2 linked regions of the Xenopus tropicalis genome follow. The protein of the gene in region 2 purifies or fractionates together with the protein of the main gene of each other region. This does not show direct contact. Links are inferred from orthologs where the notes say so. Each region holds a gene or a part of one and is shown on either strand. Other genes may lie near its edges.

Region 1 (16,183 bases), on a different chromosome or scaffold from region 2:
CCTATAAAGTGTACCTTTACTGCCCTTATATCGGTGCGTTGAATAATAAAGCTGGGGCACTGCAATTTTTTAATTACTTAAAGTAAATTGGACCTGTTCCCTCCCATGGAGGCTTTTACAGCAGTGCAGGTAGTTTTTTCAGCTTCTGCCAAAGAGCTGATATAATTTCCTTTATGTCTGCATACATACAGAATGTCCCCATAGGGAGTGGCATGACATGAGCAGACATATTGTACATAAATACCTTTATTCTCTATATTCTCTATATACCCCTATTCAGGTACTCATCTGGATGCCTTCCCCAATCAATTGACTCCAATGGAAGAAAGCTTATATTTGGTAGATGGAGGATTTTCTATTAACTCTCCTTTCCCGCTGGTTTTGCAGCCTGAGAGAGATGTAGATGTCATTCTCTCCTTTAACTACTCATGGGGTGCTCCATTTGAGGTGAGTCTGTTAAAAAAGAATAATGACTCTTTAAACCGGAGACTCTATTTAGCTTTACTGAATTATTTGTCTCTGTGTGAGATTAAAAAGTGCCTTCATCAAATGAATATCTAAGGAATAGCTCAGTTTACATGGTTAAATAGTAGTTGAGGGTGGAATAAGGACACATGCTCATTAAGTTCAACCATTTGCTCAGATTAATAGCTGATATTAAGGAAGGTGAGAAACCTCTCTCTAAACCTGCCTTGAGTTAAAAGAAAGATAGCTTTTGAACCCAAAACGGCAATAGGACAAATCTCAGGATCTATTATTTGTAAATCTTGTATTTTTTGCTATAAGGCACTTAATCCTTTAGTGAAACCATCAAATGTATCTGTCAGTATAACCGCTATAGGAAGGGAGTACCATTTATGTGGGACTGGGGTGTCCAGGGCCTGCCAAGGGCCACCAACTTGAGGGCCTACCACCTTCACTGCAAAAAATCCTTGCAGTTGTTGTCACTATTCCCCTCCCCCAGATGCATACCCCCTCTTCAGTGCCTAAACAGCCCCCCACCAGCCCAATAAATAGTGAGTGCCTATGGCATCTTACAGCAGCCCCTCTGGCATTTTCCAGAATCCACAGATTGCCCACTGGGTTTTCTCCAAGTCCAACCATGAGTACTACAACTACATAGCTGTCCTTGTTCACAAACACATGGCACAGTTAAGGGTTCTTACAGCAGTTTTTGTAAGTGCCAATGGGCATAATCGAGTTTAAGTGAAAGTAGCAAAGCAAAAGAAATCCTAGAAAAGAGTCCCATCCAAGTTCCCATTTGCAAATTCCAGGTTGTGTACAGATCCCAACCTCTGCATTTTAGGGCAGTGCAGGTTGTGATCAGCGTATACATAGAGAGTAAAATGGGACTGGGGCTCAGTGCATGTCTGACAATTTTATTTCTTTTAGGTGCTGCACTTGACCTCCACCTACTGCAGAGAGAGAGGCATCCCTTTCCCTGAAATCACCTTAACTAATGAGGATGAGAAGCAGCCAAAGGAATGCTATGTGTTCATGGACCATAATAACCCTAGAGCTCCCATAGTGCTTCACTTCCCCATGGTCAATAACACGTTCCGCACATTCATAGAACCAGGTATGTATGTTGCACAACTGGGGTGGTGGGAGCTGATTTGTCAAACACCAAGTAATTATAATGGCTAACCTCAGACCCCGCACCAGTACTTGTATAAAAAGATATTTCACTAGCCTCCCTAATTCCTTTTGCAGGAGTTGAGCGGAAGACGGAAGAGGAGAAATTAAATGGAGAAGTAGACTTAACTGGAAAGGAATCGCCATTCCGAACAAAGAACTTTACATATGAGCCACAGCACTTTGACCGTTTGGTAGCAGTGAATCGGTACAATGTACTAAACAGTAGGGAGCAGATTGCAGCAGCGCTAAAGGCAGCAGTGGCACGTAGGAAGGACAAATCAACCAAGCTGCCATCTAAAAAACACATGTGATGGGAAGTCTAAACCTATGGAAGTATATTATGTATTAAATAGCACTGGCTGCTCAGGTGGGTGTGCATCAGGGCTGTGTTATTGTTTGTCCTCAAATGCACAAATCATTTCGTTAGGCTGAGCTATAGTTTGCCTGGATGGTGGTGTATTGTAGAAAGTGACTGTACAGAATGTTCCGTGAATGCAGACTTGTCTCTCTTGGTGGCTGTGCAGAGATCTGCTAGGTATCCGGCTCAGAGTAGAACCTAGGGCTAGCCACATACCTCTGCTGTTACCTTCCCCTAATCCGTGCCCTTGTAACTACGCTTGTTCTTACACAGTGTGCAAATGAATGTGCCTGAAAGAATGCACACAGACAAACATCCGTGTAGCGGCAGCAACAATGGTGGGGCTGAGGTGGCCAGCTGGGTTGCCTATAGATGTGAGATTTGCCCGTCCACATGAATAACTTTAGCATTGTTCACTGTGTTTGGCCAGTGTCCTAAATGAGAGATCTGACAATGCCAACATTCTCATCTACCTGCAAGGAGATTTCCGGCCAGACATATTACTGAAAGGGTGTCAAACCTGCCTTCATAAGGCAGAATCAGCAAGGCCAGCTACAAGTTGAGAATCCACTAAATCAGCTACTTTATGCCAAGAATGCTTTATTTTGCCAAGACTTAGAGGACCAGGACCTCCATTAAGTGAGAATAGGTTTGGTATCTGTTCATCCAGCACCTACAAATAAACTATTTGTCCTATTTCATAGAAGCTGTTTATTCTATACCCTGGATACACACACCTCCCCTTACACCTGCGGGAAGGAATTTTTTTTTTTTTTTTGCCTTTTGATAAAACCACTAATGAAACACCATCGGGCAGCTGCTGAGATTGTAGCTCATTACTTTATTAAATTTTGCAGGCGTTGAATGGTTAGGAAATGGTAGCCATGTGTGTATTTTATTGCTGCTTGCCATTTTTTTTAATGCACTTCAAGATTTCCTATTTCCACTCATTTTTACAGTCCCTGGGTTTGTAGTTTTACATGTTACTTGTACTTCCAAATCCATTATCCAGGAAGTTCTGAATTATGGGAAAGACATCTCCCATTATAAGCAAATAATTCTTTTTTTTTTTTTTTTTAGAAATGATACCTTTTCTCTGTAATAATAAAACAGTACCTTGTACTTGGCCCCAAATAAGATATAATTAATCCTGATTGAAGGCAATACAACCCTATTGGGTTTATTTAATGTTTAAATATATTTTTAGTAGAGGCATGAAGACCCCAATTATGGGAATATCCCTTATCTGGAAAACCCCATGTCCCAAGCATTCTGGATAAGAGATCCCATACATGCACTAGAAACATACTGTATATATAGTATGGGTGCAAAGGTACATGCCATTTTCCTTAAGTCAATTATGACCAAAATGGAACAAAATACAACTTCTAGAATAGCACAATACACACCATGGTATATGCAAAAGCAAGAAAAAAAAAAAAACCCTTTATTATACTTAACACTACAAACAATTGCATACCACAAATGTTAACAGTACAAATTAAGTGTGTTAAAGCGGAGCATATCATGGTGTGTTATATTTCCTGGGTGTGCATAAGGCTATTCTATAAGTTATTTAGCACTTTCCCTTAATACACATCCTGTACGGCTTGTTAGCAATTAATTTAGATGCATGCTGCGTGGCTGCATATTAATCAGATTGGTCTGCAGCATGCACCTAAATCAATTGCCAACTAAACATGCATGATGTGGATTCAATATGTGGCTGGTATTGAAGGGATGAGGTTGCAACCGTAAACAAAAACATGGGATTTAAAAGTCCCTGAGCTGGGCCTAGTAGTATTGGTGCCCAACACTGCCTAACCATAGTTCCAGCCCTGCACAGTCCCATGCATTTACTGACCCTAAACTGAAATCAATGTTTTACTCTGGCTTCATAACCCATCGAAACTCAATCACCAACATTCTAATTAGATGCCATATATTGCTGCTGCCAGTTTTGTAAATCCCTCCCGCTGTAGCCTTTTTCAGTTGATTTGCTACTTGCACCATGCTTGAGTGACTGAATAGAGTAAATGCAGCACAAGTGGACACAGTTTCTATTTTGTTTGGAAACCTTTTGCAAAGAAAAAAGGTCAGAACACAATCTAAAAAAAAAAAGAATTTATGTACAGAAATGCAAGAAAATGTTACACATCTGCTAAAAGAAGTCAATGCATACTCTGTGCTTGGGCGGCCTCTGTAAGACAGATTTGGAAAGTCTTCCATATTAAAAAAATAACTCAACCCGGCCAGCCAATTAAAAAGAAGGCAGATGTTTTAGGAAGCACTTGGTTCTCTTTATTTAAAATCAAGACCTAACAAAGGAAAGGGGTACAGTATTTGAATCCACTTCACAGCCCCGGCTTTATGAGTAGGCCATATTACAGAGGCAGCTCAGACACAGATGATAACAGGCAAACTGGGGGAAAACAGTCAAAATTAAAGGCAAATAAATAATCTAAATTGTACAGTTTCACAGTTTTCCCATGCTACAGACTGGTTTAACTGCTCCATCCCAGCTTGTTGATGAACAGCTGGCAGAGAAGGGGTTAACTGCAGGGTGAGGTTAAATGAATGGAAAATGGTTTCCACAAACCCACCGAGGCACTTAATATCTTTCCAACTTTGGCCAATATATGACAAGGACAGAAAAACAGAAACAAACGATAAATGAGACTGCTGCTCCTTCAGGCTCCAGGAAGAGAAAACATTACACTAAACTGCCAATGGCAGGCAAGAGGTCAACGTGCAACTGGTCAGTGCCAAACTCAGGGATGGGCAAAGTGAAGCGCTCTAGCTGTTGTTCAACTGCAACTTGTTCGGCTCCACATCTAAAAGGCTAGAGGATTACCCATGCCTGTCCTTGCACCTTCATATTCCAGGCCGTTGGCACTGAAGAGGTGTAAACCACACAGTGTCCTGAATCCAAAGACTATGTAGTTGGTGCACCACTGGAATGGAAGGGAAGTGGATAGCATGGATATTGCAGAGATGTTCTGTGAGAATGGAGGGTAGGGGGGGTTGGTAAAGCTGCCCAATCATATCAAGATGGGTCACCACAATCAGCCAAATCCCGTTGTTCAAAGTACCTAAGCAAGAGAAAGAAAGAAGTCTGCATTAATAATTAGCAATATGATGGCAGGATTCATCAGTGATCTATGCTCTGTTTGCAACTTTCCAATATGAATTTATTAAAAATGTTTAGTGCTTTAAAAGTTATTTGTAAATGTAATTGCTATTGAAAGTAGCATTTGCTGAACTCCTGGTTGTTACTTTTTAAACAACGTTGCAAAGGTCAGTCTCCTCCAGCAAGTCAGGTCTGTCAGTCTGCTGCCTTGTGTTACACTGTTTCATATGCCACAGCCACCAGGGCAGGGAATAGGAAAGGGCAGGCAAACAGTGATTTTATTAGCAATCATATATACAAATAACTCAAAAACCATTAGAAATTTGCAATGAATGTAGATTGCAAAGTTGCTTAGAATGTTGTGTCCTTTTATTAGGCAAAAAATTATATTCTGGGTTGACTTGTTCTTTAACCTGTTTATCCCAGTACAAAAAAACAAAAAAAAACCCCATGCTATTTGCCAGTTGTGCACTGCAAATATTCTGGAATCAGACCGTAAGAGCAAGTGAAACGTGTCAGCGACTCACAGCACAAGTTGGTTGCCTTCATTTTAGGGAAAGTGTTGGCACAATCTGTTTTAGCCAAAATTTGAACATAATATTTAACATTTACTATTACAGTTGCAGGTTCTGCTGACATAATATTTGAGAGCACCGACTGCATCCAGGGAATGAAGAGTGACCTAATTCCTCTCCAGGTTTGAGACAAAATGAAGGAATTGTGATTTCCTGGTTAATGTGGAACTGTGATTCCACCTTGGTTAGGAAGGGGGGGAGACAGTGTGCAGAACTGCTTTGTCAAGATGGAAAATGAGAAAGAGGGATTCACAGGATAGAGAATAGAGTTCTGACACCTGGTGCGCAGATGATATGGCCACAAAAAAAACAGTCGTCCATGTGAGACTAACCAGGGAAACTGAAGCTAAGGGCTCAAATAAGAGTTCTTGTAGTGCCCTCAGCAAAGTTAAGATCCCAAGGAGGTCAGGGACTTCTGAAGGTAGGCCCCAAGTGGGGTGCTCCCTGGCGAAAGCATTCACATCCAGCAGCAACAGCAGTTGTTTTTTGTAATAGCACCAAAAGGGGCAATATCTGGGCATTGAGAGAATTCAGGCCCGAGGTCAGGCCCAATTGAAGGGAATTTGAAATCATTGGTGTGGACAAATCATGGAATGAATGTGTTGTTAACACCAAGGATAATGCTCTATGGAAATCTGAGCTGCGTCTAGTGCTGCCTCACAAATGTAAGAACTGGCCTTCTTGATTTGAGGGGCGAAGCGGGCCAGTTCCTGCACCCGATGTGATTATCCCAGAGCCAGAGGGAATAGGGGCTAGGGGTATGTCCACCCTCAGGTAGACAGGAGGCGGCAGTCTCAGCAGAAGCAGCAGTGCCTGGTACAAAAGCTGCAGGAACATCTGTGGCCTGGCATGATGCACAATGAGAGTCTGTCTACTTAATGGAGTCCATGCCCCCGGGAAATAAGTTGTCACTATTATTCGCTGGTATGCACAGAGGGAACTAAGGACAGTGATCTCCAAGATGGGGTCCCAAAGGAAGATTAGGAGCGTCGAGCAGGGAAGGGACAGTACCTCCCCGCAAGTGTGGGCAGCCAATAGTACCCCTGAGTGCACAGTTGGTGCCCACTATGGAGGAAAAGTGAAACTGTCGTGTATCCAAAGTGTGGTAAACTCGAATAACCACCCGTTACAGCCAGGAATAGAGGCCTATAGAACTGCGTAATATGCAACCCAGGGGTACTGCCTGAGTAATAGTTGCTAGTGCTGGGGGCACCCCCAGTTAGTACTATGAAGATTAGGTGCAGAGTACGGCTAGATGGCCTGCTCTTCAGGAGTGAGAAATGATCCTGGTGCTGGAAATATCCCACAGAGGGGGAAGCCTGAGAATGCAGCCCGGTTCCGAGAAGGCTGGTAGGGACAACCCCTAGTGTTCCTATGTCCACAAGGAGATGAGACAGATTCTAACGGAGATAGCATTCCTGTAGCTTTCTGGATAATGATTTTCCAGAAAGGGATCCCATACCCTCTAAACATTTAAGTTCTTAGAACTCTTCATTCAGAGTCTTCACTTCTAGTTCAGTACATTGCAGCCAATATTTCCACCTTGCGAGGCTCATTACCTGCCAACCAGACAGATGAATAGGTTCAGCGCAGACACCCGTTCATCTTCCTTATGTTCCTAGGATAAAGAACATTCACAGTTATTCATATTATCGGCTGAAAGGAGCAGCTGTCCCATCACACATACAAATCACTGCCTGGCAAATCATAGAAAGCTTTCTGGAAATTCCCACATTGCTCCATACACTAAATCACATACTGTAATCAACCTTCTGGCCTGAAAAGGTTTAAATTGGTTGTTTCTGAACAGGTGAATCCCAGCTGCCTGTTTTCCCAAGTGAACCCCACACACCAGTTGCCAGTTCAGGATATGTGAATGAATCCTGAAAAGTGCAGCCAAAACCTAAATTTTGGGGACTGGTAATACCAATAAAGAAGGTTTAAAGGGGCTGTGCACCTTTTAAATTACCTTTAAGTATGATGTAGACATTGATCTAAGACAGATTGCAACTGGTCCTCATTTATTTTTTTGTGGGTTATTTTTTAAGTTACTCTGCTTTCTGTTCAGCGGCTCTCCAGCTTGGAATTTCAGCAGCTATCTAGTTGCAAGGGTCTTATTTGCCATAGCAACCAGGCAGTGGATTAAACAGATTGGAATGTGCCAATGAGAATCGGAAGTTGAGTAATACAAAGTAAAAATAACAGTAAAATTGTAGCAACACAGAGCTTTTTTGGTTGGGGTCAGTGAGCCTCATTTGAAAGCTGGAAAGAGGCAGAAAAAGACAAGTAATTCAAAACATATATAAAAAAAAATATAATGAAGAACTACTGCAAAGTTGCTAGGAATAGTACATTCTATAACATACTAAAACCTAAGTAAGAAGTTATCCATCCCATTAATAGTCAATGTGTCATTATGATTTGGGGAAAAAACAGAAATTAGTCAAAATGATTAATGAAGTTAGTAAACCTCCGAGGAATACTAAAGTAACAATCAGAATCATTTAATGTTCAGCTTTTTAACAGCTTCTATAGATTTGGCTATGTACACATTGTAATATGGTTCAGTAAACAAAATAGAGCATTTTAAATGGGTCTACTGGGATAGGTAGTGCTGCATAAATCTTCTGGTCTCTTTCTCTAACAGCCGGAGGGCCACATCGCTTAGTATTCTGACGTAGTCACAGTGCAGTGGGGCGCATGGGCTACTCAACAGTGCAGCCTGTTTGCTGGTCATTGATCTGACGGGCTGAAATCGCGTTAGCCAATCAGATCAGGGAAATGCTAATGAAGGGGCATAAACAATAAAGTTTGGGTCCTAAAATTTCTCCACTCTTTTTTCTAACAAGATTCCAACAAACAGGAGCTTTCATATCCAGGGGCTTGGGGTCCCCTGGTTTAGGCTGAGAGAAGACAATATGAAGCACTAACGTTCCAGGTAGATATATTGAAAAATGATCCAATTTTTAAGTAGACCACATTTATACATATTGTTTAAATGGCAAAAAAAAAAAAAAAAAGGTTCTTACCACCCCAGCTCTGACTTGTGAGCATCTCCGTGCCAACTGCCTAATAAGAGAGTGAGCTTCAGGCAGCAATGGTTTCTCCAGGCAGGCCAGTAGTGCGTAAAGCCAACGACCCTAGAAGACATCCGCAGTATATCTGCATTACTACTTGGGCAGAAAAAGTTGTGTGCAACAAATATTGTGCTGTAGAGTAGAGCTTGCACAGTAAGTATACAGTGAGGAATGGTTCAATGAAAGATGAAGACTATAATTACAACTGTTTTTTTGCCATGTATTGCACTGCACTGAGATTCAAAACAGGCCCTGGCATTTCAAGTACACAGAAAGGCCCAAACACCCCCCACAGGCCCACTAAATAGTGACTATGGCCTCTTACTGCTGCCCTTCTGGTATTTGCCACAGATTAGCAGTCTGGGCCTGCACCCAGTATAGTCACAAGTATGTGACTATGTGCTGATCAGTACTCAGTAGGCACATAGAAGTTAAACAAAATTGTTTAGGTCTGCAACTGTTGGAATATTCTTTTTGATTCAGGGATCTACCAATAATAAGCTACGGTTCTAGATTGTAAGCTCTTTTGGGCAGGGCCCTCTTCACCTCTTGTATTGGTTATGGATTGCTTTATATGTTACTCTGTATGTACAATGTATGAAACCCACTTATTGTACAGCGCTGCGGAATATGTTGGCGCTTTATAAATAAATGTTAATAATAATAATAATAATAATATAAAGACAACACATTGTAAATTAAGATATATATCTATATATATGTTTTACCAGCTCTGGAGTAAAGTTCCTTTCTTCAAACCAGTTCACTAAGTATTCTAGCACACTTGTTACGGTCGCCTTAAAGACAAAATAATTACAGAATAAAAAACACAGATGAATAGATTCTATACAGTTATGTCAACATAAACAGAGTAAAACATAGCAGGACTGAACTTGTACCTGTAATTGTTTTGGCCAAAAGTAAATGGTTGGCAAGACCGATGTCCATTTATTGCCTAATCCTGACTGGCACAGGTCATCGTTTCCTTACAGGAGGACATTTGTTTATCTTACTGCCTGGGGCCCCCAAGAGGTCTAATCAGTGGGTTCAAACAACTTCATCGTATTTGGCCCCATCTTCGAGCATTTCAGTAATTAAGTTAAATAACCTCATCTTTGTTTAGGAGGTCAGCTTTACAGTAACCATTGGGCTTTCTTTATCCTATATTAACATGTTCTTCTTATATTCAAAATTCTCTTTATAGCCAGTGTTTTCCACTCTGCTATCATCTCCCTCTTTCTTTAGGACTGTGAGAATAAATTAAATAATTCTCTTAATAAATAGAGCAGCTTCTGAATGTGCAACTAGAAAAGCATTTGTGCCTTGTTAACCATTCAGGATCCACTAGAAAGTTTTGACTGCATCTAACACAGCAAACAAAGATTTGTAATTTATGCAGAGAATTCCATATTTTGAAAAGAATCAAACTAAAGGATAAATGTTGCAAATGAAACAAAACAAAAACAAAGAAGGTCTTACCTGGCTCATCCGACTAACAATGCTCAGCAAGGGTGGGAAACCAACCTGAAAGAACACGTAGAACAAAACAAAAAAAATATATATAAACAAACTTGTGCCATTTTGCTGGGCCATTATGTCTAGGGGTAACAAAATACAAGTAGGATCTGTACATACATTGGCAATAGCCAAACAGAAGCAGCCATTTGTACAACGCACCTTTATATAATCAATTCCTGGATGCTGGCTGTCACTGTTCAGGGCAGCTGCTAGGTCAGAATATAGCCTTTCCCCCAAACAGAACTTCTTCCAGCTCTCCTCATCCTCTGTGCTTGGCTGGAGATCAGACAAAAAAAATATTTAACTTTGAAATTCAGCACTGTAAAGACACCACTGGGTACATTCAGTAAACATTAGTTCTAAACCGCAGTTCACCCCTGTTAATACTACTATAGTGCAAGATGGCCACACATGAGGATGTCCTTAATGCACAGATTGGCACATTATCCTTAATTCTGTATATTAAAGTCAGTTGAGAGTTTGTACGACAGTCCAAAACACACACAAGTGTAATAATTGCACTCACCATTGTAACATTGCTGTCCAAAGGCTGAGACCTCCAGTGACTCCTGTGTTTGTGAAGACTCTGTGGGGTAAATGATCTTATGTAAGATCCAGTTATGTGATGCAATAATAACCCACCTCAAGGGCATATCAGGAAACGATCCACTTGTTTGGCAAGATTTAAGCTAGCCATACACACACCGAAGATATTGTACGAAACCTTGTATCGTACAATTTTCGGTGCGTGTATGGTGGCTTAAGGAGGCCACCGATATCACAAAAGGCTGCGGATATTGGTCGCCTCGCCAGGTTAAAAGATTTTGATGCAAAATTTACGTTCAGGGCTGTTTCTACCTCCATATCAGATTCAGTCGTAAACGTCTGGAGGGTGGAAGCGACCACTGGTCGCACGGGAGATCGAAAATCGCTACATGTATAGCCAGCTTAAGGCTAATGTTGCATTAGGCTGTTTGCGCAGAAACAGCTGATGGAAGCAGATGCACACCCACTGTTACAAAAATGAATAGCTTTGCATTTTTGCCCTAAAATCCACCGTGTGCACACTGCACAAACAAGGCACACTGATGCAGTGCCTGTCCATGCGCTTAACACACAGAGTTGATGGGTGCAGTTCTGCTCCCATCAGTTGCGTAGAAACACAGGTGGAGAAACAGCTTATTTAGACATTAGCCTAAAGAGAGGCAAATGTGCTAAGAAAAATATAATGTGATTGATATATTAGAGAGAGGGGGCATTGATATGGTTTGGGTTTATTATTCCCCAGCAGGATGTGTGTGTTCATCACTTCCTTAGTTTTTATGACTCAAAGTCCCTAGTGTCCTGCCTCCTAGTGGTGCAAGCTTTACCCACAGTTCCTATATTCCCCAAGGCAAATGTAAGAAAAGGAGGACTGTTAAAACTGTAACAGTTTTACAAGTGGGAGCTATGTAAGAAAAGGAGGAATGTTAACACTGTAACAGTTTTACAAGTGGGAGCTATTTGGCTATTTCAGTGTTTCATATTGTGTGTAATGGGGAAGTGGTCCATGGCCACTGACCTTGGTTTATTTGAACAATATTCAACCAACCACACAGTTCAAAACACCTTGGGCACCATTACAGGACTTGTTTCAGAAAAGAAATGTAATTATCAGAGTAGGAATATCAGAGCAGGAATATTACCTGACGGACAGCAGAAAACTGCGCTACTTGTTGTTGCTGCCAGCGGAGGCTTGGAGAGTACCCTTCGGGAGCAGGCTGGCACCCTGACAGCTGGAAAAAGTGCAATCGCATAGCATATTGAGTAATACAGAAGCCTTATATATACCCTTTTTTAATATGTCAGAAGAGGTGTTATTTTTTGCCAGCAGAAAAACACCTATTACACTTTTTGTGTGTAGGAAGTGTCATGAATGGAATCTACCTAACAGGCATATGCCATTCATGTCACTTCTTGGTTGGCATCTTTTGATGGCATAGACCTAGTGTGATATTAGCATGTAGCTGGCAATTCCAAAGGTGACTATACAGAAGTGTGGAGACTAAATACTTATTATGAATCATTTTGAGCACCAGTGGCTTGAAATAAACAATTACAGAGAATATATCTGAACACTGTAAGGCTAAGTGCACACAATGTGGATGATACAATCTTCTCTGCCTGTGTTCTGTATGTAGGGGGAGAAAAAAAGATCCACTACTTTTTGTATCTTAAACGGCAGGCATGGAGTCAGCTTGTGTGCAGCTACACTGAGTGGATTACAGCCCAAAAACTAAAAAGCATGAATTTTCGGCCTGCTCACAAGCCGACACCATGTCAGTGAGGCTGTACAAAGATGGGAACACAATGCAGGTGATCTCATTTGTACTTCCCACGCTTCCAGGTTTCAGAACCACTGGATTCTTGGAATTTTAGTCAATGTCTCAAACACTGACTTCATAAACGACACACTTAAAGACAGGGCTGCTTTACTTGCCTGGCAGTACAGCTGTAAGGACAGGCACCAATGATTTAGCACTTCAAAGCCATGAGGAAGGCATGCAATTAATGGTCACTATGGCAATCTAATAGAAATAGAATAGTGGCCAACTTTAAAACAGTTGGAAGGAATATTAATACTATGCTGTGCCACAGCAGTGTATTTCATATTGTATTAAAAGACTTTGCATTAAAAAGACATTTTAAGAGCACAGCAATTCAGTTACCCATTGTGCCCCATCCCTAAGGGGGATGTAGCACAGACGTACTGGGTGGGCGATTTTCTTTTTCAATGATTTTTATTTGCATTTTAACTTTTACAGATTGGATATCAATATAAAGTCGTTTTGTACTGAACAATATGCATCCTTAAGGAGGAAGAAAAAAAAAAAAAAAGGAAGGAAGGAAGGAAGGAAGGAAGGAAAGAAGGAAGGAAGGAAGGAAAGAAAGAAGTGGTCCCACTTTTGGTGAATAATGGGGGGGGGGGTGGGTGATTTTAATTCTTACAGCTGGTTACTCACAGATATGCTAACGGTCTGTTTCTTTCGCAACTTTTTTGGATCAATCTGTGCAATGACAACATCTGGACACCGTGCTGCTTCAATCCTGAAAGGCAATAGTTTTAATAAGGTCAAATAAGTACACAAAATGTACACATGCTTCCCTTTTTTCCTGGCATATCTCATTATCTACGATATAGCATATATCAACCCCAAAGACTCACAAGAGTTTTAGTTTTTAACATGCTTGCAAGATATTGGCCAACTATATCACAAAGAACCAGTTCCCCATCAATACTCTAGTGCAAACAGTGTACTATTAATCCTCACTTTTGCCTAGTTTCAAAACTGCACTCTTTTTGTATTACAGGTATTGGACCCCTTATTTGGAAACCCATTATCCAAAAAGTTCCGAATTACGGAAAGGCCATCTCCGATAGACTCCATTTTAATCAAACAATTCAGATTTTTAAAAAGGATTCCCTTTTTCTCTTTAATAATAAAACAGTACCTTGTACTTGATCCCAGCTAAGATATAATTAATCCTTATTGGAGCCAAAACAATCCTATTGGATTTAATTACTGTTTAAATAATTTTATTAGCAGACTTAAAGTAGGAGATCCAAATTACAGAAAGACCCCTTATCCAGAAAACCCCAGGTCCCAAACATTCTGGATAATGGGTCCCATACCTGTATAACATTTTCAAGGCAGCCTACCACTACCAGGCACTTTTAGATTATAAAATAAAGAAATAAAGACCGTCTTTTAGCAGACTCCATTTGTCCGGTGTGCTTGATGTTCCTTCTTAACTAGTGACTTACTTACATTATTGTGGGTACAACTGCAGGCCCCTTACCAAGCAATATGGCAATAAACAGAAATTTAATATAATCATTGGGCCGAGGCCACAAACTTGCAGGAAGGGGATGGGTTGGGAATTATAATAAAAAAAAAAAAAAAAAAAAGTTCAAGTAAATTATTTTCTGTAATGCGTTATAACTATTTCAGTATATACACTAAGGTAGTGCTTTCCAACTGATTATATGTAGTGGGCCAATTATATCTGGCACAGCATGTTGGAGGGCCAGATTAAGTTAAAATTAGGATGTGACATGTAGCCGATATACGCATGAAAATGCGAGATAATGCAAAGTCTCACGTTTTCATGCGTATATCGGCTACATGTGCCTGCACCCGAGCGTATCTCATTCATTTGGGTGCAGGTACATGTAGGACACGTAGGGTGGAATTTTCAGCAAGCGATTTCCGAAAATATCCGCCCTACGCCTCGTCTGTCATTAGCCTAACGAAGTCTAGGGAGCTTCTGAGCAGACTGGGGGCCATAAAAATCCTTTGAAGGGCCGCATCTGCTCTATGGGCCTCCAGTTGGACAGGCTTGCACTACAACAATGTTACATCTAAGCTGTGTACTCCCGTGTTCACTCACACACAAACACACCGTGCTTGTATGCATAGTTTTTGAAAAATGTGCACAAATAAAATGTGTGCACACCTTGCACCCAGGTGGCAAAGCTCGCAGTTATTTAACTACACTTCCCAGCATCCCCTGAGACAGAAAAAAGTTGAAGGAAACAGAAAGCTGGAGTTCAAAAGACTGCAGAATAGGCACCCCACAATCTACATACAGTTTTCTGCCCTAAGATGCTTCCCATATCCCCCCCCCCCCTTATCTGTACATTTAAAATTACATTATAAGTTGTCTAATTCCCGGCAATGTCATTCTGTGGCTACTAAAGCAAATAAAGTGCTGTCTTGTATAAAAAAGGCATTGTCTCAAGGAATGAAAACATAATTTTGCACCAGAGGCCCCCCCTTTAGATTAGAGGAACGGAGCTTCCATTTGAAGCAGCGTAGGGGGTTTTTCACGGTGAGGGCAGTGAGGTTGGGGAATGCCCTTCCTAATGATGTGGTAATGGCAGATTCTGTTAATGCCTATAAGAGGGGCCTGGATGAGTTCTTGATCAATCAGAATATCCAAGGCTATTGTGATACTAATATCTACAGTTAGTATTAATGTTTGTATATATAGTTTATATGTGAGAGTATTGATAGGTCAGTTTAGGTTTGTGTGTGCTAGGTTTACTTGGAAGGGTTGAACTTGGTCTTTTTTCAACCCTATGTAACTATGTATTGGGCAAAAGCAAAGCCAGGCCAGTCATGATCTATTTCATTTATAGGTCTCTGTAGTCATTCAGGCAGCCACACTTTAAAAATATCAAACTAAGAAGCCAACATTAAGCTGGTCAGATATCTCAAACATGACTCTGACATGGCCCATTTATTACCATTTAAATCATCTGGGTTGCATGTAATATGTATGTATCTGTATGAATACAACCTTTTTGCACAATATGTTGGCACTTTAGAAAAATCTGACGATAAGGTCTATTACAGAAGGGCACACTATGTCTGCCAAACCAAGTTCGGTACACAGACAAAATTGCATGTATATGCGGCACTATATATGTAAACATCATTCCCCCAGCTGCCTGCCCCAATGTGTGAGTGCAAAATGCTACAGGTACTACTGAATTGCTACCCCTGCAGCCCTCCGGCTTTAAGAGCAGCAACAGGAAGAGCTCAACATACGGCAGTTCGGTGCCCCAGGCAGCAGCTTTAGATCTACCCAAACCCAATTCCCTCTGCAAAGAACGTAATGGCAGCTTACTGCACTCTCCGCAAGTACTCCTGAGGGGTCCGAGGGGGCACCGCTGGATCAAAATCCTCTGGGAGGTCACAGTTGCCAACCGGCAGCAGCCTGGGCATCAGCTCTTCGGGCCCAGAATCCATGCTTGTCCGGCTCTGACGGATCCAGGCTCACAGCACTTTATGAATGGAACGCATTCTGTAACAGCGTTTCTGATTGGCCCCTCCTCTTACCG
Region 2 (16,982 bases):
GTTTATTTAATGGTTAAATGATTCCCTTTTCTCTGTAATAATAAAACAGTACCTGTACTTGATCCCAACTTAGATATAATTACCCCTTATTGGGGCAGAACAGCCCTATTGGGTTTATTTAATGGTTAAACGATTCCCTTTTCTCTGTAATAATAAAACAGTACCTGTACTTGATCCCAACTTAGATATAATTACCCCTTATTGGGGCAGAACAGCCCTATTGGGTTTATTTAATGGTTAAATGATTCCCTTTTCTCTGTAATAATAAAACAGTACCTGTACTTGATCCCAACTAAGATATAATTACCCCTTATGGGGGCAGAACAGCCCTATTGGGTTTATTTAATGGTTAAATGATTCCCTTTTCTCTGTAATAATAAAACAGTACCTGTACTTGATCCCAACTAAGATATAATTACCCCTTATTGGGGGTAGAACAGTCCTATTGGGTTTATTTAATGGTTAAATGATTCCCTTTTCTCTGTAATAATAAAACATTACCTGTACTTGATCCCAACTAAGATATAATTACTCCTTATTGGGGCAGAACAGCCCTATTGGGTTTATTTAATGGTTAAATGATTCCCTTTTCTCTGTAATAATAAAACAGTACCTGTACTTGATCCCAACTAAGATATAATTACCCCTTATTGGGGGCAGAACAGCCCTATTGGGTTTATTTAATGGTTAAATGATTCCCTTTTCTCTGTAATAATAAAACAGTACCTTGTAATTGATCCCAACTAAGATATAAAAAATCCTTTTTGGATGCAAAACAATCCTTTTGGGTTTAATTAATGTTTTATTGATTTTTTTTTAGCAGACTTAAGGTATGGAGATCCAAATTACAGAAAGACCTCTTATCCAGAATGCCCTTGGTCCCGAGCATTCTGGATAACGGGTCCTATACCTGTATAAGGAAATATGTAGAAGGAATGCTTGTGTGTTTCCTCTGAGGTACCAGAGTTTCCCCCCATAGGCCAAAATCACACCAGCAGGTTAACTGGCTCCTGATAAAATTCCCAATAGTGTGAGGGGGTGATTATGATTAAAGTTTGAATTTGGATTCTTTTGACGATTCAAAAACTCAAATGTCTGATATTTATAAGGTACAAAAAAGCCCAATTTAATTTAATATAAAACTTCAGCATCTAAAAGCTTGCGAGTTTATGTAGAAGTCAATGGGAGTTGCCCTAGGCAAAGCCAAGCCATATTTTTAATTCACGTTTTTCGAGTTTATAATCTTGCAAATTTGAGTTATTCGAGTTTTTTTATTTGATATTAATAAATAAGCCAGCATTTGAATTTTATTTAAAATGCCAGTTTATTTAAGTTAGAAAAACACTCTCAAAAAACACTCTAAAATTGATAAGCCCATTAGTGTATATTATAGGACACAGAGTGGCTTATTCTATCAAAATTTGAATTTGTGAATTTTTACCCATAGCTGTGGAGTCAAAAACAATTTTGGATACCTGAGTCGGCAAAAATTTGACAATTGATTGAAATTGTAATGAAAAAACTATATATATTACAATGTCCTATTTCACAAATTATAAAGTACTTCTCTGCTGTCCTTGTGTCACCAATAGGGTTTCCACCTTTTTCTGTGACTAATATCAGCCTACGGGTTGGAGGGCCGAACATGATGTCATTTGGGGGTGGGGTTATGACATAAGGGGAGGGGAAATGAGCAGGCTGGTGGGGGGGAGGTGGATGGGGACTATAAATGGGCAGGGAATTGAGCTAACTGGGTGGGTTTATAGTGTTTCAGCAGGTAACAGAAGTAGGGCAAATGAATTGCACAGAGAAGAAGTCATGGAAGCTTACCATATTTTCTATTTCATTTTTGCATTGTACGGGTTGGGGTATTTCCCACCACATTACAGGTTCAGATTTAGCATAACTTTTACGACTCAATAGCGCAGTAAATGTTAGCAAGCCTTTTATATAAAGGGTAATTGATTCTGCTTTAACCTGTGGCTTGATAGCGAGAGGCTTATTTGCATTCAACATTTTAATCACTTTTTTTCTTCCATTGCTAGCATATTTTTTTTTTTAAAAAAAAAGGTTAAAATTCTACTATGTTTAACAGGCAAACGGTAATCACATTGTTCCATTCATTTTCAACGAGGATGTATAATCTCAATAGAAACCCAAGACCTCAAACATCAACTTGCACAAATGCTTCATATACGCCCCCATGACTTTTATAGAATCTCAAAATCACAAGAAATTTGAAAAACTATAATTCAGCTTTTCAAATTTTGTCCCAAGTGTATATCTAGAATTCCTAGCATAATAACAATAGCACATTATTTATGTATTTTTTAATTGGCCCAAACATGAAGCACTAAATTTGCTCACAAGGAACCCCACTGAATTCTACAGAAATCAGCCACGCAATCACTTGTTGGGCCACAGTGGGAAATGCTGCCGTCACACCTATAAGTGACAATGGCCTGCCCAGCATTGCAAAATGGTTTCAAGATAATTGCCATAGCAGGCAATCTGAGAGGGGCTATTGCATACCTCCCAACTGTCCCGCTTTCCGCGGGACAGTCCCGGTTTTTAGAGCGCGTCCCACTGTCCCGGATAGTTCCATGAATGTCCCGCATTTCCGTAATAAATTACGGAAATGCGGAACATTCATTGACTTACTCGGGACAGCGCGATGCGTTGGCGCTCCTTCTTCCCCAGCGGCTCCTCAGTGTATGCGGCTCCTTCTCCGGCGGTCCCAGGCCCTTTTATAAGGTTGCGCCCTTACGCACGGGTGACGTCATTACGCACGGGCGCAACCTTATAAAAGGGCCTGGGACCGCCGGAGAAGGAGCCGCATACACTGAGGAGCCGCTGGGGACGAAGAAGACGAAGGGAGCGCTGTGTATGGGGGGGGGAGGAATGTCTCTATTGGGGGCACTGTGTATGGGGGGGCTGTCTCTATTGGGGGCACTGTGTATGGGGGGGACTGTCTCTATTGGGGGCACTGTGTATGGGGGGGCTGTCTCTATTGGGGGCACTGTGTATGGGGGGAGCTGTCTCTATTGGGGGCACTGTGTATGGGGGGCAGTCTCTATTGGGGGCACTGTGTATGGGGGGGACTGTCTCTATTGGGGGGCGCTGTGTATGGAGGGGGGGCTGTCTCTATTGGGGGCGCTGTGTATGGGGGGGCTGTCTCTATTGGGGGCACTGTCTCTATTGGGGGCACTGTCTCTATTGGGGGCACTGTCTCTATTGGGGGCACTGTCTCTATTGGGGGCACTGTCTCTATTGGGGGCACTGTCTCTATTGGGGGCACTGTGTATGGGGGGACTGTCTCAGTTGGGGGCACTGTGTATGGGGGGCACTTTCTATGGGGGGCATTGTGTATGGGGGCACTGTGTATGAGTAGTACTGTCTTTTAGGCTATTGGGGGCACTGTGTATGGGGGGGCAAACCGGTAGATAGTTATAACTCACTAATAACTCACTGCCTTCTCTCTATATTTGTATTTTATATGTAGGAGTTGCTATATTGTTACCCTATACTCTCATACTATACAGTATGAGGGTATAGCACATTTGCGTCTGATCCTGCCATTTCTACTATATAAAAGGAGAATTTTTTGAAAAAAAAAAAAAAAAAAAAAGATGGGGTGTGGTAATTGGGGCGTGGCCACAAAAGTGGGCGTGGTCAAAATTGCCGCGCTGCGCGCACCAAATCTTTTTGTCCCTCTTTTCATTTTTCAAATGTTGGGAGGTATGCTATTGTAGGAAGCAAGGGTCGTTCACTTATAGTTCCGGGTCTTTGCAGGCTGAATGGCCTCTCTTATGACAAATTTAATTATAATAGATTATCTGGAGAGGAGCCAATCTGACAGTTGGCTAAAGACTAGTCGTGGGAATGCATAGCCTACACCTTATTCAGAGAGGCGCCCGGCCCGTAACATAGTAATTACAAGAACTGTTTTAAATTACGCAGGCAACACCGCTATGTAAATCAGAAGCAGAAACCCTTTATCTATCCATTATTTGGTGGCATCACATTTTCATTTCATATTCCCGATATACCTACACTGCGTGCTTATTATGACTGGAGAATAATGCAGTCTGTGCTTGGCACTAAGGGGGTGAAGATAAGATCCCCCCAGGGAATGCCCCACTCGGGGCAGCCACATTTAGGGCAACAATAAACATATTTTCCACTCTGTTTTTTCCAGAAAGTCATCATTCCTGGCCTTTTTTTTTTTCTACCCATCAACATCTACACCCTGCCTGGTGCCCCTAGGTCAGGGGTGGGCAAACTTTTTGGTTCAGGGGCCACATTCACTTACGGGGGGGACCTGATACCCAAATCTATGCACTGGCTACACAATTATGGTATGGGGGGACCTGATACCCAAATCCATGCACTGGCTATACAATTAGATGATGAGGAGGGAGGGGGAATGAGAGGAGGGCAGTGACATCTAAGAAGTCCTAAATTGAAAGTGAAAGTAACTGACTGCCCCACCCCTATGCCTAAGGCATAGAGGCGGGGCACACAATATATGATTGACAGCTGGGACTTTTGAATGCTTATATAATGGGTATAGATGTGTTAATAAAAAAATGACTTTGGGTTACATGTTTAATTTGAAAAGGGCTTTTATTATACAGCTTTTTATGTCTGGGTGACAGGTCCACTTTAAGGGGGCCGTGTCGGAGGTCCGGATTAAAAAGACCAACGGGCCGTAGTTTGCCCACCCCTGCCATAGGTGAACAGACATGTCAACTGTCCCAAAGGTCACATGGATGTGGCCCCTTTCCCCTCAGTCACACCAGAGCGGCGTAACAGGGTGGCCAAGTTGATATCTGTGTGTGAATTCACATGGTTGTCTAGCTACTCTGGCATATGAATACTAGGCACTATACTGCTGGCACTGTGTACTTACAGTACGTACGTACAGTATGGGATCTGTTATCTGATTTTTAGTAGACTTAAGCAAAGGAGGTCCAAATTACAGAAAAACCCCTTATCTAGAAAACCCAAGGTGCCTGGTACTTGATCCCAACTAATATATAACTAAAGTTTACTGAAGGCAAAACAATACTATCCAAAATGATTTTTAGTAGACCTAAGCTAAGGAGGTCCAAATTACAGAAAGACCCCTTATCCAGAAAACCCAAGGTCCTGAGCGTTTTGGATTACAGGTCCCATACCTGTATACATAGCTACATCAGAATCACTGACAGGAGGCCAGCCCAGTGGTAATACAAGCAATGGCTGTGAGAGAATGTGGGCCAGCATGGAGGGCCTGTATAGAGCGGCTGTACAAGCACTGGTACAGCAGCCGGATGCTCTAGTTTAGGTTTGTATCAGAACATATCATATGATAACATATCAGAACATAAAACTGTATATCTGATAGAAAGGGAATAGAAAGATTTGGCTGCACGGAATCACTGTTGCCTAAGGGACAATTGCTCTTCTGTTTCCTTAGTGTTGCTCTTGGGCGCTGCTTGGAATAACCCAGTGGGCACTCGCTCACCCCCAGTACAAAGGGGCTTTATATTCAGTTTCATGTTTAATCAGCGCCAGTGGACTTTACTGTAGAAACACACTTAATAAATATCTAATCCGGGGCTTATGAGGCCGGTAATTACTTGCTGTTGCACTGAGCAACTGATATTTCATTTTGCAAATGAGCTGATCTAACAACTAATTGGCACTGATGTGCGGCACGCAGGACACACCATTACCCCTTGCTTGCTTAGCGATCTCAAGCGGGTCTGTCCCTGCCCATATCTATGTACCAGTATCTTAGTTGGTTTGTCCATTGGGCAGCCTTGAAAATGTAATCTGCCAATGTGCCGTGTTGGTCAAATTATGGTACGTATGGAAGCAAAGAGCTTTGCAGAGTGCTAAATTCCTTTTTTCTATTCAGGCCCTATACATGTTCCAGCTTCGACAGCATGCAGGAACTACATAACCCACAATGCATTGCACTGGGATGTTCCTTTCCTTATTGACATCACGTGTGCAGGGAATTGTGGGATTGGGAGGATGCAGGCTGAAGGCTGGGGACAGGCGACTACTGTTACATTTTATTTGAGTCTCAAAGTAGCCAGCCAGATCAGCAGGGGAACAGGGGGCGGGGCTTAGGGAACTGTTATTATTAACATTTATTTATAAAGCACCAACATATCCCGCAGCGCTGTACAATAAGTGGGTTACATACATTGGACATACAGAGTAACATATAAAGCAATCAATAACCGATACAAGAGGTGAAGAGAGCCCTGCCCAAAAGAACTTACAATCTGTCCTAACCATTAAAAATCATGAAAAGGCTGCATATATATTAATTGATGTATATTGCAAAGCTGCTTGAAATCATGTTTACTTTTCAAAAAGCATAATTTGTGTTTGGGTGGAGTTCCCCTTTAAGCCGACTCCTGAGACTCTGCAGGCTCACTTTACATCATATGTATAACATCAGATCCAGATCAGATGTAAGATCTGACAAGCAAGGCTTCAGCAGGGGATTTTCATAATGAATACAAGCTTTTTCCGGAACATTTAAAAGTGAAAGATGATAAAAGGCCCCCATTCCCAGTGGCACTTTCCATTTGAGTATCATTTCCCTTTTAACCCTAGAACAAATTCCCACCACTTTCAGTTCCCAGATATAAAACACGGAATTGATTCCTGCCGTCTGCACCCCATATTTTTTATAGACACCTATGATATTAAATAAACAGATACCATATATATTCACTGTATGGGCCACCCGTTGTTTAGAAGGCAACAATCTATGACATGTGACTGGTTGGGTTGTGCCTCTTTTGCTACATCCCTGTACTAAAAATCAAATTCTTAAAAAATGAATAGCATGTTTCCTGTTGTCACGCATGTAGTTTCCATCAGGAAACAGGTGTTAGGGGCGCTGTTATATTAAAGCGGTAGTTCATCTTTAAATTAACTCTTAGTATGATGTAGCATGCTGCATTTGGTCTTTATTTTTTATTATTTGTGGTTTTGAATGATTTAACTTTGCAGTTTGCAATTTCAGCAGCTATCTGGTTGCTAGGGTCCAAATTACCCTAGCAACTGGGCAGTGGTTTGAATAAGAGACTAGTATATGAATAGGAGAGGGCCTGAATAGAAAGATAAGTAATATAAAGTAACAATAACATTGCAGCCTCACAGAGCAATAGGTTTTTGGCTGCTGGGGGTCAGTGACCCCCATTTGAAAGCTGGAAATGATCAGAAGAGGAAGTCAAAAACAATTAATAAATAAAAACTGAAGACCAATTCAGTATGAGACCAACTACTCCTAATTGGGAACCAATTGCTGTGAAGCCACAAGATACCACCGTGCTGTAGCACCGCCACGCTCACCTACCAGCCTGCCCATATATATGCCCAATACTTACTAAGCCTGTGCTTCTCAAACTATGGTACCAGCAGCAGCCATTATATGGTTACAGAATCCCTCACTGACTTCTAATATCCTTATACTATAATGGGGGGGACATTATTCACTATATAACACACAAGAGTCATAAAGATCCAGTTGAAGATATCCTTATACACTGTGGAAAGACTACTTTGTGAGGAAGGAAGGAATCAGTGTTGCACAGGGAACACTTCACCCAAGCACAGATTTTATATGGCTTTCTCTACTTTCACGCAAGACTCCATTGTGCCAATAATGTCCCTTGAGGAGTGACAGTGACAGCGCATCAGATTGGGGGCTGCTAATAGGAGCGGCCAGACTGTGCATTTACTTTCCCCACTACTTCTCTCTGTATTATCCTACTCACACCAACAGCCCTGGGCTCAGCCATTCATCCTCTTCATGGCCCAGTAAGTACCCAATGCAGGCTAATAGCCCTCACAGCATAGACATATATATATTAATTATCTGGTGAATTTGGTACATTATTTATGTCTAAACTGACAGTTGGAGGGGGCAGTTGGGCATTCCATGTATTGATTCTGGTATTGTGTGTGACCAGTGAGTAAACATAATGGGAATGTACCATTGGGTAGCATATGACGGGGGCAACACAGTGAGTGATAACTGGGGGGCAATAATGAAAGCTCTATTTGTTTGCTTTCCTATCTGGTTAAACCCTAAGGCTGCCAGTGCCTTTATGCCAAGGCTACAGCTTTGGGCATAATTACAGGGTATTTTTTGTTACTAAAGGCTGCAATGTGCCCTCTGACCATTTACACTCCCTAAGGGAGCGGAGTGCAGCTTACCCCATGGAAAACAGTGGGGCTTTAATCCCTGACAGCTCTGCAACTCTCAGCCATGGCACTGAGCCAAACAGGCACCGACCCATACAGGCACCGACCCGCACAGGCACCGACCCGCACAGGCACCGACCCGACCCCACAGGCACCGACCCGACCCCACAGGCACCGACCCGACCCCACAGGCACCGACCCGGCACCGACCCGACCCCACAGGCACCGACCCGCACAGGCACCGACCCGCACAGGCACCGACCCGACCCCACAGGCACCGACCCGACCCCACAGGCACCGACCCGACCCCACAGGCACCGACCCGCACAGGCACCGACCCGACCCCACAGGCACCGACCCGACCCCACAGGCACCGACCCGACCCCACAGGCACCGACCCGACCCCACAGGCACCGACCCGACCCCACAGGCACCGACCCGACCCCACAGGCACCGACCCGACCCCCACAGGCACCGACCCCCACAGGCACCGACCCGCACAGGCACCGACCCGCACAGGCACTGCCAGGCCCCAAGCTGCTCTGCAGAGGTTTGAAGCTGCCATAGAGGAGCAGAGCCCTGGCAGGGAGTGAGACTGGCATGATGGTTACACAGCGCTATATACAGGCACTAACAGATACAGGCTGACAGCTCTGCTCCCCAAGATGTTCTGCAGCAGTGTGGGGCTGCTCTAAACCAATAGGCTGCGGACACAGTGGGCGGGACATGTTGGGGTTCTGGGTTACAGGCTCTAGTGTTGGGGTCAGGCTCTAGAGTTGGGGTTCTGGGTTACAGGCTCTAGTGTTGGGGTTCTGGGGTACAGGCGCTAGTGTTGGGGTTCCGGGGTACAGGCTCTAGTGTTGGGGTTCTGGGGTACAGGCTCTAGTGTTGGGGTTCTGGGGTACAGGCGCTAGTGTTGGGGTTCCGGGGTACAGGCTCTAGTGTTGGGGTTCTGGGGTACAGGCTCTAGTGTTGGGGTTCTGGGGTACAGGCGCTAGTGTTGGGGTTCCGGGGTACAGGCTCTAGTGTTGGGGTTCCGGGGTACAGGCTCTAGTGTTGGGGTTCTGGGGTACAGGCTCTAGAGTTGGGGTTCTGGGTTACAGGCTCTAGTGTTGGGGTTCTGGGGTACAGGCGCTAGTGTTGGGGTTCCGGGGTACAGGCTCTAGTGTTGGGGTTCCGGGGTACAGGCTCTAGTGTTGGGGTTCTGGGGTACAGGCTCTAGTGTTGGGGTTCTGGGGTACAGGCGCTAGTGTTGGGGTTCTGGGGTACAGGCTCTAGTGTTGGGGTTCTGGGGTACAGGCTCTAGTGTTGGGGTTCCGGGGTACAGGCTCTAGTGTTGGGGTTCTGGGGTACAGGCTCTAGTGTTAGGGTTTTGGGGTACAGGCTCTAGTGTTGGGGTTCTGGGGTACAGGCCCTAGTGTTGGATGCTGGGAGATGTAGTTCTGCATTCACTGCCTTACCTGGATCCTCTCCAAATAAGAAGCCGGCACATACCCCGTCTCCCCGCTGCTGCAGCGACTCGCCAGCCACCAGTGCTGATTGGACCTCTCCAGGATCAGGAAGCTCTCTCCGGCTCCGAACAGCAGCGAGTTGGGCTCCGGGGAGCGGAAAGCGTACAGGGCTCGGTACATTGCGTTCCTATTGCTTCCAAGTCTCAGCAGCGGAACTGTCTCACCGGACCGGGCCAATCGCAACTAAAGCGCGTACTCGTGCCAAGGCCGGTCACGTGATCTCCAGTCGGGGCCGCGCACTGTGCGGGGAAAGCCCAGGAGCAGCCCCGCCCCTGCTCAGGTCATGTGACCTACAAGCGCGACCGGCGCTTCTTTTTTTCACCAAACTTTATTGTTCGTCTGACACTGAATACATACACACTGTTGTCTGAGGGAAGCAGCGATATCCATGCACCGCCATAGCACACACCGGCTTGTTAGCGTGCAGAGAGCGCCACCCCGAGTCCATTCCGCTGCCTTACACACCGGGTTTTAGTAAATAATTCCCGAAAATATCCGAATGTGCTGAAATTCTTTACAATGAATGAATTCAACAGAATTGTTTCATCCGCCCAACAATAAGTGTTGTAAACCAGTATAGGGAGCGCAAAGGTTACCAGTAAAACAGTCACATGATCGTCAAAAAAATGGATATTCAGAATGACTGAGATAAAGATCCGTATGTGACTGAAAAACACCGCGTCCCTGGGTGGGCTCGAACCACCAACCTTTCGGTTAACAGCCGAACGCGCTAACCGATTGCGCCACAGAGACGGTGCAGCCCTGTTACATTAGGCTCCCTATTGGATTTCTCACACACAGGCTTTCCGTATCCTTCCGCCGCGGCGCTGCGCTCACTAACACCGACTCCCACACAAACCGCTTACATATTCTCTACCAATCAGAATAGCGTTACCGGATACATTTAGTTACGTCATAACAGACACCGGTGCCCGGTACCGACACGGCAGCCGAAATAGCTCAGTTGGGAGAGCGTTAGACTGAAGATCTAAAGGTCCCTGGTTCGATCCCGGGTTTCGGCAGAAGCTGGCTGCACTTTTTGTTTTAAAGCCTCATATAAGCGCAGGGCTGAAGGTGCAAGCAACTTGCTTTATTTATAGATATTAGTGCAAAAAAAAACCCCACAATGTAATATATATAGTTACATAGTTACATAGGGTTGAAAAAAGACCATTGTCCATCAAGTTCAACCCATCCGAGTAAACCCAGCACCCACACCCTATACTAACCAATCTATACACTCACATACATAAACTATATATATACAAACATTAATACTAACTGTAGATATTAGTATCACAATAGCCTTGGATATTCTGATTGATCAAGAACTCATCCAGGCCCCTCTTATAGGCACTAACAGAATCTGCCATTACCCCATCTATATGAAAAGCTTAATGCAATGTACAAAGAAGAGCGGGCTGCGCACTTTTACATTGAGTTGTTTATATAAAGGGGAAATATGCTAGACATTCACATTATTTTTCTTGGTCAGTAGCCGTAGGGCCGCTGGTTGATTTGCACCCATCCTGCCAAAGTGTAGCTATGGCTCCATGTAATGAAGCAGCGCCCCCTAGAGGCCAAACAGCAAAGCAAAATAGTTAATGAAATGGCAGCTTGGGTGTTTAAATGAGACATAGGATAGATGAATAGATATCTAATCTTGTAGGCAGTTATGAATAATATATGGTGCTGGTTTTACTTTGTGTTAAAAACTGTGGGGTGTGAGGCCCATTGGGACTGCTACTATAGGGCCCCCCACACCCCCTCAGGGACCCGACCGCCTGCTCACCCACCTGCTGACTGCCAGCCCCTTCCCCCCATGTGTGTAGGGGGTGGGCAGTGGGATCAGGTCCGGGCTGCATGGCCCATAAGGCACAGGGCCCATCGCGTTCTTTTCCGCTGTCCCTCAGGCCCAGTGTGACCCTGTTCCCACACATACCCCCTGTCACACTCCTTGTTCCAAATGATGGTCCCTACCAGAAGCACAGTGGAGGGATAGCCAATCACAGCCCTGCAGTCACACAATCATGACATATTTCAGTTCCCTATCAGGTCGGGCTAGTTGCTGATTGGTTCCTATCTTACAGTGCTGCGTGCCCCCTGCTTCCCTGTGCAGCCTGGGAAAGAAGGGAGCAGGAAGTGGCACAGATGGGCGGGACTAGTAGGGTTTGGGGGGAACCCAACTTTTTTAAGCACATTCCTTCTATATTTAGAGAAGTATAATGCACTGGCACATTCTTGTTGTCACACAATATGCCTACTTTTAATAATAAATCTTTATTTAACCTAGTGGGAATAGCTGTAGGACACTGCCAGGGCCTGTATAAATGTACTAGGGGCTAAAGCAATAGGGACAGTCTTTTGCCCAGAATATAGTTAGGACTGGGCATATATAGCCTTAGGTGGTACTTCCAGTGATTGGCCACTAGATGGCGATATATCTACAGAAATGATGGTTCAGACACAGTATTGTGATTATAACACAAAACATTACTCTTTTCCAAGTTGCAGTTTTAAGAGAGGGTCCCTTAGAGCTTGTGTCTGAGCAGCTTTAGACGGATACATTTCTCCTCTACCCCCTTGAAAGAATTTGTAATACATTGGCGCTTTATTCATTTCTCAGTTAAAAGTACAGAGGCAATGGATTTCTACAGTGTTTAGTATTCTAGAATCTCTTGTCAGATGATCAAGTGAGACATAAACTCTTGTATATACGTATATTTATTATATTTATCCCATTATGCTTATAAGGGCTCATTTACAAACATAGTGAGAGAAACCACAAGTGCCCTTGCAACCACTCCGCAATTAGTTTCAATATTCTGTATTACAGGTCCCTACATTACTGCCCCCTCACCATAAATATGCAGAGACTGGGGGGTGCAGCGCCCACCGGGGCTCCCGCCCCAGGGGCCCTGCAGGTGCCCCCGCCGGTGGCGTCCCCTAACCCCCCCCCCCGCAGGGTCCCCCACCCAATGTCCTCCCCTGAGTGCACGTATGTTTAATGCTTCAGGGGAGGAACGGTCGGGCAGGGGGAGCGCCGGCAAGGGTCGGGTCTGGGCTGCTGGGGCCCACTAGGGCTGGGGCCCACTAGGGATTTTTCCCAGCGTCCCGGCGGCCCAGTCTGACCCTGTGCAGAGCTTCTCCATAGCACCATGCGCCAAATTCTCCAAACAATTCCACAATATTTGAAATGAATTGAATCCTCAGCAAACTGAATCCTTACTGTCATGTGACCGTAATGGCGGAGGCTGCTGAAGGCAAGACATTTTGCTTATAGATGCAGTTTAGTCTTAGACAGAAGTATTTGGGCTGTGGCTAGGGTTGCCACCTGTCCAGTTTTGACCCAAACAGCCTGGTTTTTCAAGGCAGAAACCCTCCAGATTGCGTCCGGCAGATGCAATAACCCCATTCCCTGGCATCATCACAAGGCCAGAAAACATCATCACGTGATGTCTTTGTCTGGGTTTAAAACCTGGCAAAGGCAACCCTAGCCACGCCCCTTATTTGGGCTGTGGTCCTTGGTGGCCCTTCATGCCAAATGAGTATATAGTACATATAGTACATTTCTGATGTGCCCCTGGCGCCCCAGTCCAACACCAACTAAACAACTACCCGGCAGTCATGTTTCTACAGGTCAGGCAGTGGATAAACTAGGAAGGCGCTACCCTTAGGGACCCGTATCTATGTGCACCATGTGCCCTATGTGTAATCCTCCCGACATATTAGGTTTCCTCACATTATCTCCAGCCTGTGATCCCGCAGCCTCCCAGGAATCCCCTTGCTCCATGGGCCACACTGATGGACATGTATTTAGCCAGATTCCTAAACCTATTTACATCCCGCTCCCCTCGCTGCTGCACCGAGAGCGCTTCATTAGGAATGTTATTCTGGGCTTGGTACCAACAGGATGGGTTCCTTTAAAGGGTTAAACATCTCATGCCGCAGTTTTGATCTTTAAGCTCATTTGCTAATTTCTCCCCCATGAGTTTATTGGCAGCTGCCCTGGCCCCAGGGACCCATCCCCAGAAGCCATCTCTCACTAAGCCTGGCACACAGGACAAAAGGGGGAACATAGCCGTCATCTCCGTGTCCTTGAATGGTGGAATTTTTCCTGGCAAGACACAAAGTGCGAATTGTTTCTGTCTCCGAGGGGACGGCATAGGTTCTTCTTATCAGTGCCATCGTCTCCTAAGAACCTCTGTGTGTCCTTCTCCAAGCTCTGCCCAAGCTCTGAGGCCCAGGCAAGTAAAGGAATAAGGAGAGAGGAAGGTTAACCCCTTGGGAGCAAGGAAAGTTCTGCCCCACCAGTGGACCAAGACCTTCTGTCTAGTGACACGGAGATAATTAGGAGCAGTCATTATGATTAATGATATCAAAAGAATGATTATTATATGGATACTGATACATTTATCTGCAATGTCAGATACTCTAGACCTTCTAGGCCTTACATATTCGGGGCTCTTAGGTATCTGAGAGCGTTGGGTACAGATATATGAGGCCTTCTAGATCTTTTAAATGCCCTGGATCTAAAAGGTCTAGAAAGTCTCAGATATCTGTATCCAGTGAACTCTCTTTTTCTTACTCTCCTGATTTAAGCATCACACATGAAAAACCCAGTAACCACTATCTGCCCTTTATCTGCTCAAGATCTGTCCTCTGTCTGGCCACTATCTGCCCACTATCTGTCCACTATGTTCCCACTATCTTCCTTCTATCTGCCCACTATCTACCAACTATCTGGCCATCTTCCTACTATCTGTCCACTATGTTCCCACTATTTTCCCTCTATCTTCCCTCTTTCTGCCAACTATCTGCCCTCTATATTCCCTCTCTACCCTGACTGTGCCCTCTATATTCCCTCTCTGCCCTGACTGTGCCCTCTATATTCCCTCTCTGCCCTGACTGTGCCCTCTATATTCCCTCTCTGCCCTGACTGTGCCCTCTATATTCCCTCTCTGCCCTGACTGTGCCCTCTATATTCCTGCCCCCCCCCATGATCTTTATGGTGAGTTGTTTGGCCTTTAGAAAACCGACACCAGAGAGGGTCCCACTAAGCCACCTATAAGCCACACTGTCTGCCGCATCTATTGTTACCCCTCTGCATCCCTGCGATGTTAGATCCCAGTCGCCCCATGTTGGCACAGCTATCAGCTTCCCCTAATAAGGAAATAGCCCACTTCTACCCACAATAAGGCCCCCAGTGCCCCCGGCACACACTCTGCACCTGACGCCACATCCCAATCCCTCACACAGAGCTATGCTGTGCTGCAGAGGGTGATGACAGTGCTGTAGTTTATGGCTCTGAGTTCCAGGCTCATCCTTTAAAAAAGAACTTTTTTTTTTACAAACAAGCCCTTATGCCAGTTGTTTCCCAATATAAATACAATACCCATCATCCTGACAGGATACAAACTGGGAGCCAAACTGTCTGTGGAATCCAGGCCCTGCTTCGCCTCCTTTGTGTAACACTGACGCACATATCTGACAGGTCGCTCCATATTTATGGGGAAGGCTGAAGCGACACGGACTAGCAAGTAGGGTTGCCACCTTGCCAGTATTTTACTAGCCTAGACAGTAAAACACCTGCCATGGCAGGGGCTGGTATTACAAATTAATAGGCAACATAGTAGCTGGTGAGTTTGCAATACTCTTAATATCAGCTCCCTGGCCTTCCCCCCGATTCTCCCCTGAAACACTTCTCCATTACGCTCCATCCACCACAATGTCATAGCTCCGCCCATTTTACATTATTGTTCTGCCTATCTTACATCATTGCCCCAACCCCTTCCGTACCCGCCCCCCATTAAAAACTCTTTAGAAAAGTGGCAACCCTCCTAGCAAGCTACCTTAGGGTTGGCACCTTTGTCAGGTTATATAAACCCAGAGTCAGTGATGATGTGTGATGACATCACGGAAACATCATCATCACATGATGACGTTTCTGGCTCGTAAGGATGTCATGCAATTCAGAGGGTTTCTGCCTGGTTTTCTGAATGTTGAAAGCCACTTGATAGGGCAGGTGTATAGTAAGTGCCCCCCTAGTGCCCAGGATTGCACCCACCTCTGCAGATACTACATCATTAGGTTTGCCACCTCACTTGCCCGGGAACTCCGGGCAGGGAGGCGGGGTATGACATCACAGGAGCGGGGCTATGACGCAATAATTGGCAATCACAGCGTCAGTCCTAGAGAATCCTGCGTGGGTTTTCCTATTTGGGGAAAACGGGCAGGTAGTTTTGATCCAGGCAACCCTACTGAAAACTGGGCTGTCTGGGTCAAACCCAGACAGGTGGAAACCCTATACACCATAATGACTGCTGTTTATTATTTAACGTGCAGTAGGGTGGTCAAATCATTTCCCATGGGGTCCCGGCTCCCTACCATCACTTGTAAGGATCAGTTACCTTAGTCCTTGATTTCGTGACTCCTCTACTGAGGCCTATCTCCTCCTCAGGCCCTCTGGCACATCCACCTCCTGTTATTGTAGAGTCCAGAGAGGGTCACACCACTGAAGATGAATTATTTTCAAAAGAAAAACCATCACCGCTGCAAAAAATACCAAGAAATGTCACTAGATATCCAACATGAGTCAGTAATGTGACCCCACTGACCCACAGCGTGGCTGGATTGTTCTAGAGAAACAGATTCCCATTAAGGAACCTTCTCTCTAAGAAAAACGGATCTGTTTACATGTAATTAGGCCAGAGGAAGGTTCTGCCTGTCTCAGGTCTCACAGCCACAAAGAAATAGTGATATTATGTGCACACAGACCTCCCCGTGCGTGACTCGCGTGCCATGCAAAGGGACTACTGGGTAGACTGGTTATACTTAGGTTACTGAGCGTTCATTACATACTGGGTGCACCCAGGGCTGCACTTCCTGCATACACACCCGAGGGCCCATGCCTGGGGGGGAACGGCCCGTGGCCCTGTGTCTCAGTAGCCTTAAAGACAAGGGCTTAGAACTTTCAACATCACTTTACATTGGACCTATTATTGGTGCCTGAGGTGTAGTCAATTCATCTCCTGCCAGGAGCATTAACTGTACTCATTGTTCAATAATTATAGCAATAAAGATATTTATAGATGGCTATAATTACATAATCTCCCATTTAAATACTGAGATTGTCACACCAGCTATGTGCAGATGGATTAGTATGTTAATTATACTCCATGCCTGCCACAGGCAGTGTTGACAAGGCCATACATAAATGACTGCAGTCGGGTGACAGTCAGTCAGGCACAGTAC

Evidence for each region.
Region 1: the proteins of nckipsd (region 2) and gemin2 purify together in Homo sapiens (co-immunoprecipitation; 3 studies listed by BioGRID and IntAct, counting the BioPlex papers as one, with this or other methods). This does not show direct contact. The link is inferred for Xenopus tropicalis from reciprocal best matches to the Homo sapiens genes NCKIPSD and GEMIN2.

The regions. Positions count from the first base shown.
Region 1 is NC_030684.2:114,041,739-114,057,921, forward strand, and holds gemin2 (gem-associated protein 2), read right to left. Parts: upstream 16,101-16,183; 5' UTR 16,092-16,100; coding exon 15,970-16,091; intron 13,384-15,969; coding exon 13,299-13,383; intron 12,072-13,298; coding exon 11,982-12,071; intron 10,883-11,981; coding exon 10,823-10,882; intron 10,573-10,822; coding exon 10,456-10,572; intron 10,303-10,455; coding exon 10,258-10,302; intron 9,576-10,257; coding exon 9,507-9,575; intron 8,842-9,506; coding exon 8,731-8,841; intron 7,320-8,730; coding exon 7,261-7,319; intron 5,089-7,260; coding exon 5,043-5,088; 3' UTR 4,275-5,042; downstream 1-4,274. Other genes in the region: pla2g4f (cytosolic phospholipase A2 zeta), read left to right, coding at 281-447, 1,393-1,579, 1,714-1,949. UniProt on the Homo sapiens protein: The SMN complex catalyzes the assembly of small nuclear ribonucleoproteins (snRNPs), the building blocks of the spliceosome, and thereby plays an important role in the splicing of cellular pre-mRNAs.
Region 2 is NC_030680.2:136,177,167-136,194,148, forward strand, and holds the start of nckipsd (NCK-interacting protein with SH3 domain), read right to left. Parts: upstream 9,938-16,982; 5' UTR 9,849-9,937; coding exon 9,678-9,848; intron 1-9,677. UniProt on the Homo sapiens protein: Has an important role in stress fiber formation induced by active diaphanous protein homolog 1 (DRF1). Induces microspike formation, in vivo. In vitro, stimulates N-WASP-induced ARP2/3 complex activation in the absence of CDC42.